Callithrix jacchus: one gene and its partners. The protein of the gene in region 3 interacts with the protein of the main gene of each other region in a pairwise test. Links are inferred from orthologs where the notes say so. Each region holds a gene or a part of one and is shown on either strand. Other genes may lie near its edges.

What was found. The genes of interacting proteins can lie anywhere in the genome.
Region 1: the proteins of YWHAE (region 3) and HDAC4 interact in binary tests that used the Homo sapiens proteins (3 or more experiments, as listed by UniProt). The link is inferred for Callithrix jacchus from reciprocal best matches to the Homo sapiens genes YWHAE and HDAC4.
Region 2: the proteins of YWHAE (region 3) and KIF1C interact in binary tests that used the Homo sapiens proteins (3 or more experiments, as listed by UniProt). The link is inferred for Callithrix jacchus from reciprocal best matches to the Homo sapiens genes YWHAE and KIF1C.

The regions. Positions count from the first base shown.
Region 1 is NC_133507.1:160,740,906-160,744,647, reverse strand, and holds the start of HDAC4 (histone deacetylase 4), read left to right. Parts: upstream 1-1,549; 5' UTR 1,550-1,592; intron 1,593-3,742. UniProt on the Homo sapiens protein: Responsible for the deacetylation of lysine residues on the N-terminal part of the core histones (H2A, H2B, H3 and H4).
Region 2 is NC_133506.1:106,566,689-106,570,430, reverse strand, and holds the start of KIF1C (kinesin-like protein KIF1C), read right to left. Parts: upstream 2,655-3,742; 5' UTR 2,454-2,654; intron 2,303-2,453; 5' UTR 2,202-2,302; intron 437-2,201; 5' UTR 316-436; intron 71-315; 5' UTR 44-70; coding exon 1-43. UniProt on the Homo sapiens protein: Motor required for the retrograde transport of Golgi vesicles to the endoplasmic reticulum. Has a microtubule plus end-directed motility.
Region 3 is NC_133506.1:66,853,223-66,856,964, forward strand, and holds the start of YWHAE (14-3-3 protein epsilon), read left to right. Parts: upstream 1-1,334; 5' UTR 1,335-1,446; coding exon 1,447-1,510; intron 1,511-3,742. UniProt on the Homo sapiens protein: Adapter protein implicated in the regulation of a large spectrum of both general and specialized signaling pathways. Binds to a large number of partners, usually by recognition of a phosphoserine or phosphothreonine motif.

The DNA.
Region 1 (3,742 bases), on a different chromosome or scaffold from region 3:
CTACAGGAAAATTTGATGGCGCACCGTTTCCATCAGCAGCTAAGCCTCCAAAACCCCGTAATCGCTCCCCTGTTCAGCTCTATCTTGTTTTAAAATTGTCATTCACCATTCCTTTCCTTCCGCGTTCAGCCATCTCAGAGTAAGCATTTCTTACAATGACCAAAGTTTTCCAATTATGAGTTATTGAGACGTTTAATGTAAAATTGGCATTTTTATTTTGCTAACTGTATTTCTATCCACATAACTACAATATCACCCCCCCACCCCCGCCAAGAATCACAGGTCGAGAATGCCATAAGGACGGATCCTTGCTCAGCTCCGAGGAGGAACGGCCTACAGTCGAAGCGGACGGGCATCTCCGCCAGGCCCAGCGTCCCGGGGCCCACGCAGGCAGGGCCCACGCACCGGCGCGAGCTGTCAAAGGCGCTTCCTCCCTGGAACGCGGGGTTCCGCGTTTCATCTTGTGCACCAAAGATGAAAAGTTGTCACACTCCTGCTGGAAAGAAATGGCAACTTCACCGCCAGGAGGTGGCCACTGAAGACCACCGCCCACACCGTTCGGCTGTGGCCACCAAAGGCGCTCGCGGGGCTGCCGGGCCCGACCTTTAACCACACGAGCCCCCCCACAAGCCCCGCCGCCTTAAAACAACGCCCACCCGGCCACTGCGCCGCTCCCGCCCCCTCCACGTCTGCCCGGCCCGGGACTGGAGACCCTGGCGGCGGCCCGGACTATCTCCGTCTGCGCAGGGATGCGAAGGCCGCGTCCCACGACCCGCCGTTGTAGGCCTGACCGGCCTGCGCTCCGCACCCCCACGGCCGCGTTCCCGCCGCGGGGCAGGGCGAGGCCCGCCGCGCCTGCGCACTCGGTGACCCGGCCGCCCTGCGCCTCCGTGCGCACGCAGCACCACGTGACCTACTGCCAGTACCTAAGATGGAGGTCGCGGCGAGGCCTGGCCGGCTCCCGGCCTCAGCCTGCATCCCATTGTGTGCTCTCTAAGCGCGAATTAGGCTCGCAGACACGCGGTGCTGACCCTTAGACAGCCATGCGGGCTACTGATTGGGACGATACGGCCAGGGCCAGTGTTTACGGTCACTGCTGGCCCCGGGTCCCAGCGCTTCCCCAACCGCAAAGCGAAACACCCAGTGGCTGGCGCCTGGAGCGTCCTTCGGTACGCCCGCCCCCTGGAATTGGCAGCTCCGAGAGCCAATGAGGTCCAGGACGTGTGCGGGGAGGCGGGCATGGGTGGAGCCTCTCTGTCGCTCATAGGGCGTCCGGCCCCGCGGTTGGGCAGCTCCTGGGCGAGGGGTGGGAGCAGACGGGCTGTGCGCAGGCCCCAGAGGACCAATGGATGGCCGGCCAGGCGCCCGGGGCGGGCGGGCAGGAGGCGGGGCCGAGCCGTAATTGACGAGCTCTTCATTAGAAACCAGGCGGCGGGGCGGGGCCCGCAAGGGGAGGTGACGCAAGGCTACCGCAGCCAATAGCTGATGAGCCGCCGGCGGGCGGGGCGGGGCCGGGTCGGCTGACGGGCGTGCGGGGTGGCCTATTGCCGCCCGGCTCGGCGCTGGAGGGGGGAGAAGCATCATGGTTCAACGTGGGTCAATTTTTTGTGAATGAGGAGGGGAGGTTGTGGGGCCGCCGCCGCGGAGCACCGTCCCCGCCGCCGCCCGAGCCCGAGCCCGAGCCCGCGCTCCCGCCCGCGCCGCCGCTGCCGCCGCCGCCCGAGCAGCCTCCCAGCCTGGGCCCCCGGCGGCGCTGCGGCCGCGTCCCGGCTGTCGCCGCCCGAGCCCGAGCCCGCTCGCCGGCGGGTGGCGGCGCAGGCTGAGGAGATGCGGCGCGGAGCGCCCGAGCAGGGCTAGAGCCGCCCGCCGCCGCCCGCCGCGGTAAGCGCAGCCCCGGCCCGGCGCCCGCGGGCCATTGTCCGCCGCCCGTCCCGCGCCCCGCGCCGCCCGCAGGCCTCGGAGCCCGCGGCAGGTGGACGCAGCCGGTCCACACCCGCCCCGCGCGCGGCCGTGGGAGGCGGGGGCCAGCGCGGGCCGCGCGCCGTGGGACCCGGCGGTCCCCAGGGCCGCCCGGCCCCTTCTGGACCTTTCCAGCCGCGCCGCGAGGCGGCCTCGCTCGCCGGGGCGGGGGCGCGGGGGTGGGCACGGCCGGCAGCGGCGCCGTGGCCCGGTGCGGAGCCCGCGCCCCCCAAGCAGGTGGGCTCCGGGCCGCCGGGAGTGAGGGCGGGGGCGGGCGGGCGCCGTTTATGTAACTTTGTCAAATGCTGTGAGTTTGCAGAAAAACCTCCCCGCAGGGGTCCGCGGCCCCGCGCGTGTCGTAGCCGCCGTGAGCCCCCGGGGTTCGTGGGAGGGCGGGGGGCTGCCTGGGACCCCCTCGGCTCAGCCCGTGGGGCGTCCACAGGCCGAGATGGGGCCCGGCCCCGCTCGGGGGTGGGATCCGCGTTTCTCGGCGTTGCGAAAACACACCACAGAATCATAAGCAAATTATCTTGTATTTACATTGAGCTTTGAATTATTTGACACTGTTCTAGCGGGAGACCGTGTGTATCAGTCGGAAGGGCCGGGGGTGGAACCCTGTGTACTCATTTAATGCACATCAAAAATTTGTAATAACTTGAGGCAGCTGATATGAGTGTTTTCTTTATTGCATGTTGTAAATTGACCTGCTGTGACACAATTTTCAAATAAAGCGTTGCAGAAATTAAACTTAAGTTATTTTAAAACTAATGACTTTCTTAACTAAATCCTAATTGCATGACTGTGGAGACCTACCTAATTGCTTGCTGAGAGCAGTTCTGCCTGCCCTCGGTGAGGGAGGAAAGGGCCTGTGTAGCCACTTTGCCGCCCCGTTTTTCTCTATTCAGGCATTTCTGTTTATTCCCACAAATCGCCGAAGCAGTAAGGCCTGGGAGTAAACCTGTAAACAGCCCTGGCTCAGCGCCAGCCCAGCAGGACTGAGGGGGATACTGGCAGGTTTGCACCTTGACCTGGTTTCACTTTTTCTTTTGTAATATGATCGTGGTTGCCTGGAGTTTTAATTGCTTCTGATAATTCTGTGCATTATTTTCGGGACCGTCCAAAGAAGGCGGGTGTGGTGGTTTCAGGACCCAGCCTGGGAAGGTGGTGGCGGTGGCGGCTGGGGAGGGGGAGGGAGGAAGGGAGGGAGATAGAGTTAAGAAAACTCAGCTGCTTGTACACAAATATACACTAAAGCAGTTACAAAGCAGCAAAAGTTATTGCAGAATTTTGCAGTAACTATGGCAACACAATTACTCTATTATAATTGGAAATGCGAAATGCCACCCAGTTAGAAGTTTCATCAGGAAGGAGTTTTGGATATCAAAAATATGAGAGATGTAATTTTTTTTCAGGTAGCTCGTGTGAATTCTAAAATCTGTCTTCAATTACCTATTTTTAAGACTGATCGCGCTTTCCCAGATAGTCTACTCTGGGATCCGTGGCATCTTTCCCCAGAAGAACTCACATTTGTGTGGGAGGGAAGTATTTTCATGTCTTAAAAACACACCCCGACACATTGTAAGACTTGTATAGCTTTCTGTGTTCTGGGCTCTGATTTTAGAGATCAAATCTCGTCCTAAAAAGAGCAGTAATCTATTAGAAAAGAAGCCGCTGTACTCAGCAGGCAGATGTAACGCTGCCCTCTTTAGGGTTCTTTCTCCCTAAAGGCGAGCTGGCAGCAGGCTTGACCCCGGGGGAGCCCTGGGCTAAGAGGCGGGACTGA
Region 2 (3,742 bases), about 40 Mb from region 3:
AGGGCCGAACCCTCACGGCCACTTTCACTGAGGCACCAGCCATGGCTCCAGACACTCCTGCCCTCCTCAGCTGGAGGACAAAAAAAGGTATGGTACGGACAGAGCCACTGGGGGGACCCAGACATTGTCTCCCAGCTTCTTCCCAGAACCAGCCTCTTCACATCTCCCCAGAGCCAGCCTCTCAAGGACCCAGTTCTCACCCTCCTGGCTTTCCTCCCAAATGTCACTGTCTTGAGAGACTCCCAAAGGTATTTCTGCCTTTCTCCCCAGCTATATTCCAGCTTGCCGGGACCTGGGCCGTCTCCCCAGAGTTACCTGGCGTCCTGGCCCCAGACCAAAGGGGCTGTATCAGTTCTGGCTGCCACCGGCCCTCGTAGGGGGAGCCCCATCCTATTCCTGGGGCCTGGCCACACCAGCTGGGGCTCTGGGAGATACCCTGGTTGTGAGGGAAGAGTTGTTAGGAAGCACCAGCTCCAGGGACCTGTCTGGGGTTCCCAGGTTGGAGGGCCACGAGTAGGGGGGCAATGGTAGGAAAGGTACGGACAGCTGCCCCTCTGGAGTGGCTGAATGCAATGTGAATCCAAGGGCAGGGACGGTGATATTTTTATTCCTTGTCACTCAAAAGTGTAATCAACATTCAGATAGAGGAGGGAGAGAAAGAGGCTGGAGAAAGGGCAATCCAGAGAGAGGGGCACATGGGCAGAGACATAAGGGTGGCAGTAAGAAAGAGAACAGGGGCAGAGAGTCACAGACAGCAAGCAAATAAGAGAAATAAGACAAAAGGCAAATCTGCAGTCATGCTATGAAGGAAAGAAGGGGAGAGGAAAGGAAGAAGAGACAAGAGGACAGCAAACACAAGGTGTTAAAGAGGCAGAGTAGGGAACTCTCAGGCCAAAGCACAAACTGGGAGCCTAGAAGAGAGATGAGAGGAGAGGAAAATGCAAATGCAAAACTTGTCCTTTGGGTCGGGCACAGTGGCCCAGGCCTGTAATCCAAGCACATTGGGAGGCCAAGGTGGGCAGATCACAAGGTCAAGAGATCGAGACCATTCCGGCCAACGTGGTGAAACCCCATCTCTACTAAAAATACACAACTCAGCTGGGCATGGTGGCACACGCCTGTAGTCCCAGCTACTTGGGAGGCTGAGACAGGAGAATCGCTTGAAACCAAGAAGACAGAGATTGCAATGAGCCAAGATCATGCCACTGCACTCCAGTCTGGCAACAGAGGGAGACTCCGTCTCAAAAAAAAAAAAAAAAAAAAACTGTCCTAAAATTCCCCCCCCAGTGTCTGTCAGCAAGAGAGAATCCAGTTCCCACCTAGGGCCCACAATCTCCACACACCAGGCCCATACTGCTGATGGACAAAGTCCAAGGACTGGAAATACAACCCAGGACTGGGATCCACAGGGCCTACTTCGTGGGCTCTAAGCCCCTTGCCCAGCCCCCAGCACTTCCTCCTCAGGATCCAGGACAATGGGCAGGGGAGGGTGGGGTCATCCTGTATCCATCAGACCAACCCTCAGGGCACCACCCTTGAGGCACCCAGAAATACCTGTCTTTGAGGGTAGAGGGTCCCTAGGGCCTCCCTGAAAGGGAGAAAAAGAAAAGAAAGCCGGCTGGTCCCAGCCTGGGGCTAGTGCTATGGCGTCCACTGTCCTGGGGAAGGTGCCAGGCTGGAGCCCAGGAATGTGGGTGATCGGGTGCCCACACCCTGGGAGGAGAGGTTGAGCAGCCCACGCCCACGGAGCGCAGGGAGGAGGACCATGAAGAAGGATAAGGGATGCTGAGCCCCCTCCTGTGGCCCCAGTGGGCCCTAAACTCTTGTCACACTGGACCTCCCCTCACCAGCCTTCCTGGGTAGAGTATGGAACGGTGAGAGGACTGGTCTGTCCCCAGACAGGAAGGGAGTAGCTGGAATCACAGAAGCTGGCTCAGGAAGAACAGCCCTGACCCCCGAAACCCTGACCAGGGGAGGGAAGTACACTGGTGGAGACAAGCAATGGTGACGCCGCTGCTGTGGCTAATGGGACAGAGAATCGGTGGCACGGCTGGGAGCCGGCGGGGTAAGGGAATAGAGGTAGGGACAGGGTTGGCCGGTGCAGCTGTGAAGGAGCAGAGGGCTACAAGAAGGATACTGGGCGGCTGGGGTGGGGCCGACAGGGCCGAAAGGGGGTCTAGGGCCACCCGCACCTTACCCACCCAGCGGTTCTCACACAGGTCCCCGCCCGGTTTCTCCAGGCGGCCATGCGGACCCGTCCTCCTGTCCAGCCAGCCGGCAGCCGCCCGGGCCTGGCACCTCACTGCGCCTCCGCGGAACAAACAGCACATGATTCCGGCTCTGGAGCCTAGGTCGCGCCGCCGGGAAACGCAACCCGGACCCCGGCACCCCGCCCCCCAACCCGGCACATTCCTCCGCGGGCGTCCCTTCCCTCCCCCTTCCCCAGCCCTCACCTCGGCGCGACGGGGCTCCCGGAGCAGCTCCGCGGAGTGAGAGGGGCAAGCTTTCCGGGAAGCGTGAGGCGGCAGCGGGGAGGATCCGGGGCCGGTTCGGAGCTGCCCCCGCCCCTCGCCGGGTCCCCGGGCGGCGGGCGGCGGACTCGCGCCCCGGGGGCGGCAGCAGTAGCGGCGCCAGCGGCCGGCGCCCGCCCGGGCAGCGCGAGCTGGGGCGGGAGCAAGGGGCGGGGGACGCGCGGGCACGCGCGGAGGAGCGGGCGCGCGCAATCCCAGGAAGGGGCCGGGAGCGACCCGGGCTTCTCTTGTTAAAGGGGCAACGCTCCCGGCCTGTGGGGCCCAGTGAGCGCGGACGCGGGAACTGAGCTCCGGACGCGGAACGACGGACAGACACCGCGATACAGGAGGGTTGCGGATGCCTAAGGAACAGGGAAAAGTCAGGGGCTGACCGACGGGGGGAGACGCAGTCCCGGGACCCGCGCACGTCGCCGCCGTCGGAGGCAAGGCCAGGGGGCGGAGCCTCCTGCCGAGGCCCGCCCAGAAGGTGGCTCCGCTGAAGTCCCACCCTCAGGCGCGCGCCGTCTGCCAGCTCCTCCCGCTGCTCTAATCGCAGTCTCTCTCCTCCCCGCCCTGCCAAGTTCTAGAATTCGCCGCGCAGCTGCTTCAGGTGCTGAGGCCAAGTGCGGCCAGCCGTGACGCGGCTCCTCGGGCGCTCTGTCCCCGCCTGGCCCTTAAGTTCCGTCGCCACGGCCGCCGCCTCAGGCCCAAACAATCCCTTCAGGCCCCTGTGCCGCCTCAGGCCGGAGCCGCTCTCTCAGGCCCCGGACTCCCCTCAGGCCCCAGCCTGCCCCTCAGCCTGGGCCCACCACCTCAGGGCCCCTCTTCGAGGGGGAAGCAGGTCCCCACTCTCGCCCTCGGGCTCTACTGCCCCGAAGGTCCGGCCACGTCCGGTCCACCTGCAGAGGGTCCCAGTCGCTCCTTCAAGCCCAGGCCGCGCCCTTCGGCCCGGCACTTCCCTCAAGCGGGGCTCGGGGCTCCGGGCTCCAGGCAGCCCCTCAGCCCCAGCCTGAACCTCGGGTCCTCATCCACCTCCCCAGGCCGGGGCCACCCTGAGGTCAACTGTGGAGGATCCTTCCTGGATTCCTTAGCTCTGTCCTGCCCTTCGATCTAGGTCACCCGCTCGGGCCCAACTATCCGAGGCCCAAATGCCCCGCAGCTCCCGCTGCCCCCCAGGTCCTGCTGACTGCCCTCCGAAGTCAGGACATCCCTTTCAGACCCCACTTTAGCCC
Region 3 (3,742 bases):
TCCTGGGCTCAAGTGATTCTCCTGCCTCAGCCTCCCAAGGCCCAGGCACTGAAGCAATGTTCCCTGAGTTATTCCTGCCTCCTCAATCTTAAATTGATCTCAGTTCGACTATTCTATACTATGTACTCCACACCATCCTCTTCTAACAATTTCCCTGCTCCCATTCATGGCAGCCTCTGGGGAAAAAAGGTTAAACAGGAGAAGATAAAGATGAGTGTGAGGGCAAAGTGGAGGCGTGAAAACTGCAGCTCCCCTGTCCCTGCCAACTGTAATAGGGCCCAGTGTTGTTTTTTTTTTCAGATGGAGTTTTGCTCTTGTTGACCAGGCTGGAGTGCAATGGCGCCGTCTTGGCTCAACGCACCCTCCCCCTCCCGGTTTGAAATGATTCTGTTGCGTCAATCTCCGGAGTAGCTGGGATTACAGGCGCCCCCCACCGCGCCCGCCTCATATGTACATTGTTTAGTAGAGACGGGGTTTCGCCAAGTTGGCCAGAATGGTCTTGAACTCCCAACTTCAGTGATCCGCTGGCCTCGGCCTCCCAAACTGCTAGGATGGCAGGAGTGAGTCACCGCGCCGGGGCCAGGGCCCAGCTCTTTACCCTGAGGGTAAAAGTGTCTGCAAAAGGCCCACGACCAGGCTTGGCGGAGAAAACCAGGACGCTGGCTGGGCTCGGTGGCTCACGCCTGTTATCCCAGCATTTTGGGAGGCCGAGGCGGGCGGATCACCTGAGGTCAGGAGTTCGAGACCAGACTGGCCAAGATGAAGAAACCCCCTTCGCTACGAAAAGTACAAAAATCAGTCGGGCGTGGAGCCGCATGCCTGTAATCCCAGCTGCTCGCGAGGCTGAGGCGGGAGAATCTCTTGAACCCGGGAGGCGGAGGTTGCAGGGAGCCGAGATCGCGCCATCGCACTCCAGCCTGGACGATAGGGTGAAATTCCATCTCAAAAAAATAGAAAAAGAAAAAGGAAAAAGAAAACCAGGGCGCGGTAGAAACAGCGCTGATTTCAGGCAGGAAGACCTGCTATGATGACAGAAACCGTCCCAGCCTCCGTGGTGGTTTTCCGCAGGCCGGACGTCGGCCGTCAGTCTGGCCCAGGTCTCGCGCCCGCGGTTTTCAGGAGCAGCCCGGGCCGGCCTGGCCACCGCCGTCGTGTTCCCCGGGGGCCGCTCCCTCGCGGCAGTCGCAGTTCCCGCCTCTAGGCCCCGGCGCCCGCTGAGCGGACGGAGGAGGGGCGTCTCCGGCGCAGGTTCCAGGACCCGCCCCCCGCGCCAGTTGCCAGGGAGCGGTTGCCATAGAGCTGAGCAGTTGTCCGCGTGCGCAGGCGGAAGTCCCGGATTGAGGCGCCGCCATTTTTGCTGCCCGGACGCGGAGCGAAAGGCTGAGAGAGTCGTAGACACTATCCGTTTCCATCCGTCGCGCAGACCCTGCCGGAGCCGCTGCCGCTATGGATGATCGGGAGGATCTGGTGTACCAGGCGAAGCTGGCCGAGCAGGCTGAGCGATACGACGGTGAGTTGTGGGGGCAACGGGGGGCTGGAATTCTTGGACCCTCTGCCGCCGCCCACAGAGGCCGGGAACGGGAGACAAAATGGCGGCATCGTCCGCGAGCGTGGCCCGGGGACTTGGGTTCGGGGAGCGGAACCTGGCTTGGGAACTCCCGGAGCGACGGGAGGCCGTGTGCCCCGGAATGTGACCCCTTCGCTGTCCTCAGCTACACATACCTCGCGGGCCGAGAGGCCGGGGTGGAGGAGTTGGTTGTAAAATGGCGGCTGGGGGGAGGGCGAATCCCGGGGCGGGGGAGGGGGAGGAGATGGCGGGCGCTGCCGCGGAACCGGCCACCCCCAGGGAAGCTTCCGGGACGGCCTTGGGAGGTGGAGAACGATTGGGTAGGGTGACGGGGGAAGCAGCACCCTCCACACGGGAGAGCGCCAAGACCGGGAGCTGTAGCGCGGGCGCCTTTCAGGGAAATATGGCGGGTGGGGGCGGTGGCTTCTCCCCGGAGGCTTCGTGTGGGGCGGCGGCCGTGGAGTCTCACAAAGGAGAGCCTGGAACGCGATGCGCTTCCTCGGGCCTGGGTCGGGAGGCCGCCCTGGGTGACAGCGGGGAGCGGGCGAGCGAGCATCGCTGCTCTGGGTCCTGGGCGGTGGCGGGCTGCGGGGCCGCGGTCGGGTTTGTTTTGCGTCCGCCGGCGCCGCGGAGTGAGGGGTTTCGGGCTTTTCCCCCCTCGCCGCCTTCCGGGGAGGTCCAGAAGATCCGGGCTCCCGCCCCTTTTCCGCGCTCTAAATGGTGAAGCTCGAAGTTCCTGTAACCTTTCTCTGGCTCCGTCAGCAGCGGGTTCTGATGGATGGAACCAGGAGACCAGGGGGCTGCGCGACTCTGGGTTCGAGCCTTCGTCCTCGCGTTTGGGAAAACGATGACTTTACAGTTTGTCCGCACCCTCATGACACATGGGAAAAAAAAGACCTGTTGAAATAAAGTTGTTTCCAGTAGCGTTTAGTAACTGTATTTTGGTTGACTCTGCAGGCTCGAAATGCGGGTTTGTACTTCGTGGGGGACCTTTGCCTCTTCCAGGCACTCGGCTGGGCCTGGGGTCTTTGAGTTATGAAGGTTGGAGGTCCTATTCTTTTTTTTTATTATTATTTTTTATTTTAAATAAGTGGGTTTATGTAGGACTTTGAGTAGTTCCTCTTTGCTCATTGTCCCTTTGCCCTTAATTGGTTCTTCAGTCCTCTTTCAGAACTTGATCGAAATATCCATTGTGTCTGCCAGGAAGTTTCTTCTTCATCCTCCCCCCCATCCACCTTTTTTGACCTGTAGACTTGAATTTCCCTCACATTTAGAATTTTTCGATACTGTGGTATTACCGAAACCAGAAGTCCTGTATGCGGCTGCTGTGGTTTTCATGCTTTTGCATGGTACGGTGGGGTGAGACATGGTTGGAATCTAGTGTCCTTGATGTGAGATTTTTCCTGGTTAAGCTACCTATATTTCAAAATGTTTCAGAGGGCCATTGCTTTCCTGGAAATGCCGATTTGGTCATGTGAATAACCTCAGGGCTGGTTCCCATTATCAGAAATGAGGATTCAGGGATTTGAAAATAAGACAAGTCCTCTAGAGCTCAAATATACGAAATATGCTGAACTAAATTTCGTCTTGTAAATTCTTTGTTATTTGTATTGAACAAAGTTGCTGTTGGGGGAGGGAAGGGATAAAATGGGGAAGTACAGCTCAAGGTCAGCTCTCTTTATTTCAGTGTTGAAAAATCAAACAAATAGGTGTGCTTATATTGGAAGACTCCCCTCCGCCCTCATCTCCAGATGTTCCCCTCTTCATCTATTAGTGTTCTCCGTAGGAAACAAATGATACTTGAATGCTTTCTGTTTTGTGGGGATTGGGGCTATTTAATTAAACTGGCTGTGGTAACTAGAAAGAATGTGAGTTTTTTTTTTTTAAACCGATTGGAAAGCTTATGATTGTAGTTTCCAAATAAATTACAGGTTATTGTAGTTATATTTTGGCGTGAGGATTTCTGACCAGAACCTTTATTGGGTTTTGAACGTAGGATTCTTTGATACGGCCACAATATTGCAGTTATTAATGTTAGGTGTCCCTTTCAGCATCTAAAGCGGTAGGAAAATAGATCTCCAAGGTGAGGAGCTCTTCCTGTGACTTGGGCATAAGGTAAGGACTCAGTAGAAAGGGGAGGGGAGACAGACACCAGGAATCGGCCTCTGTCTTTGT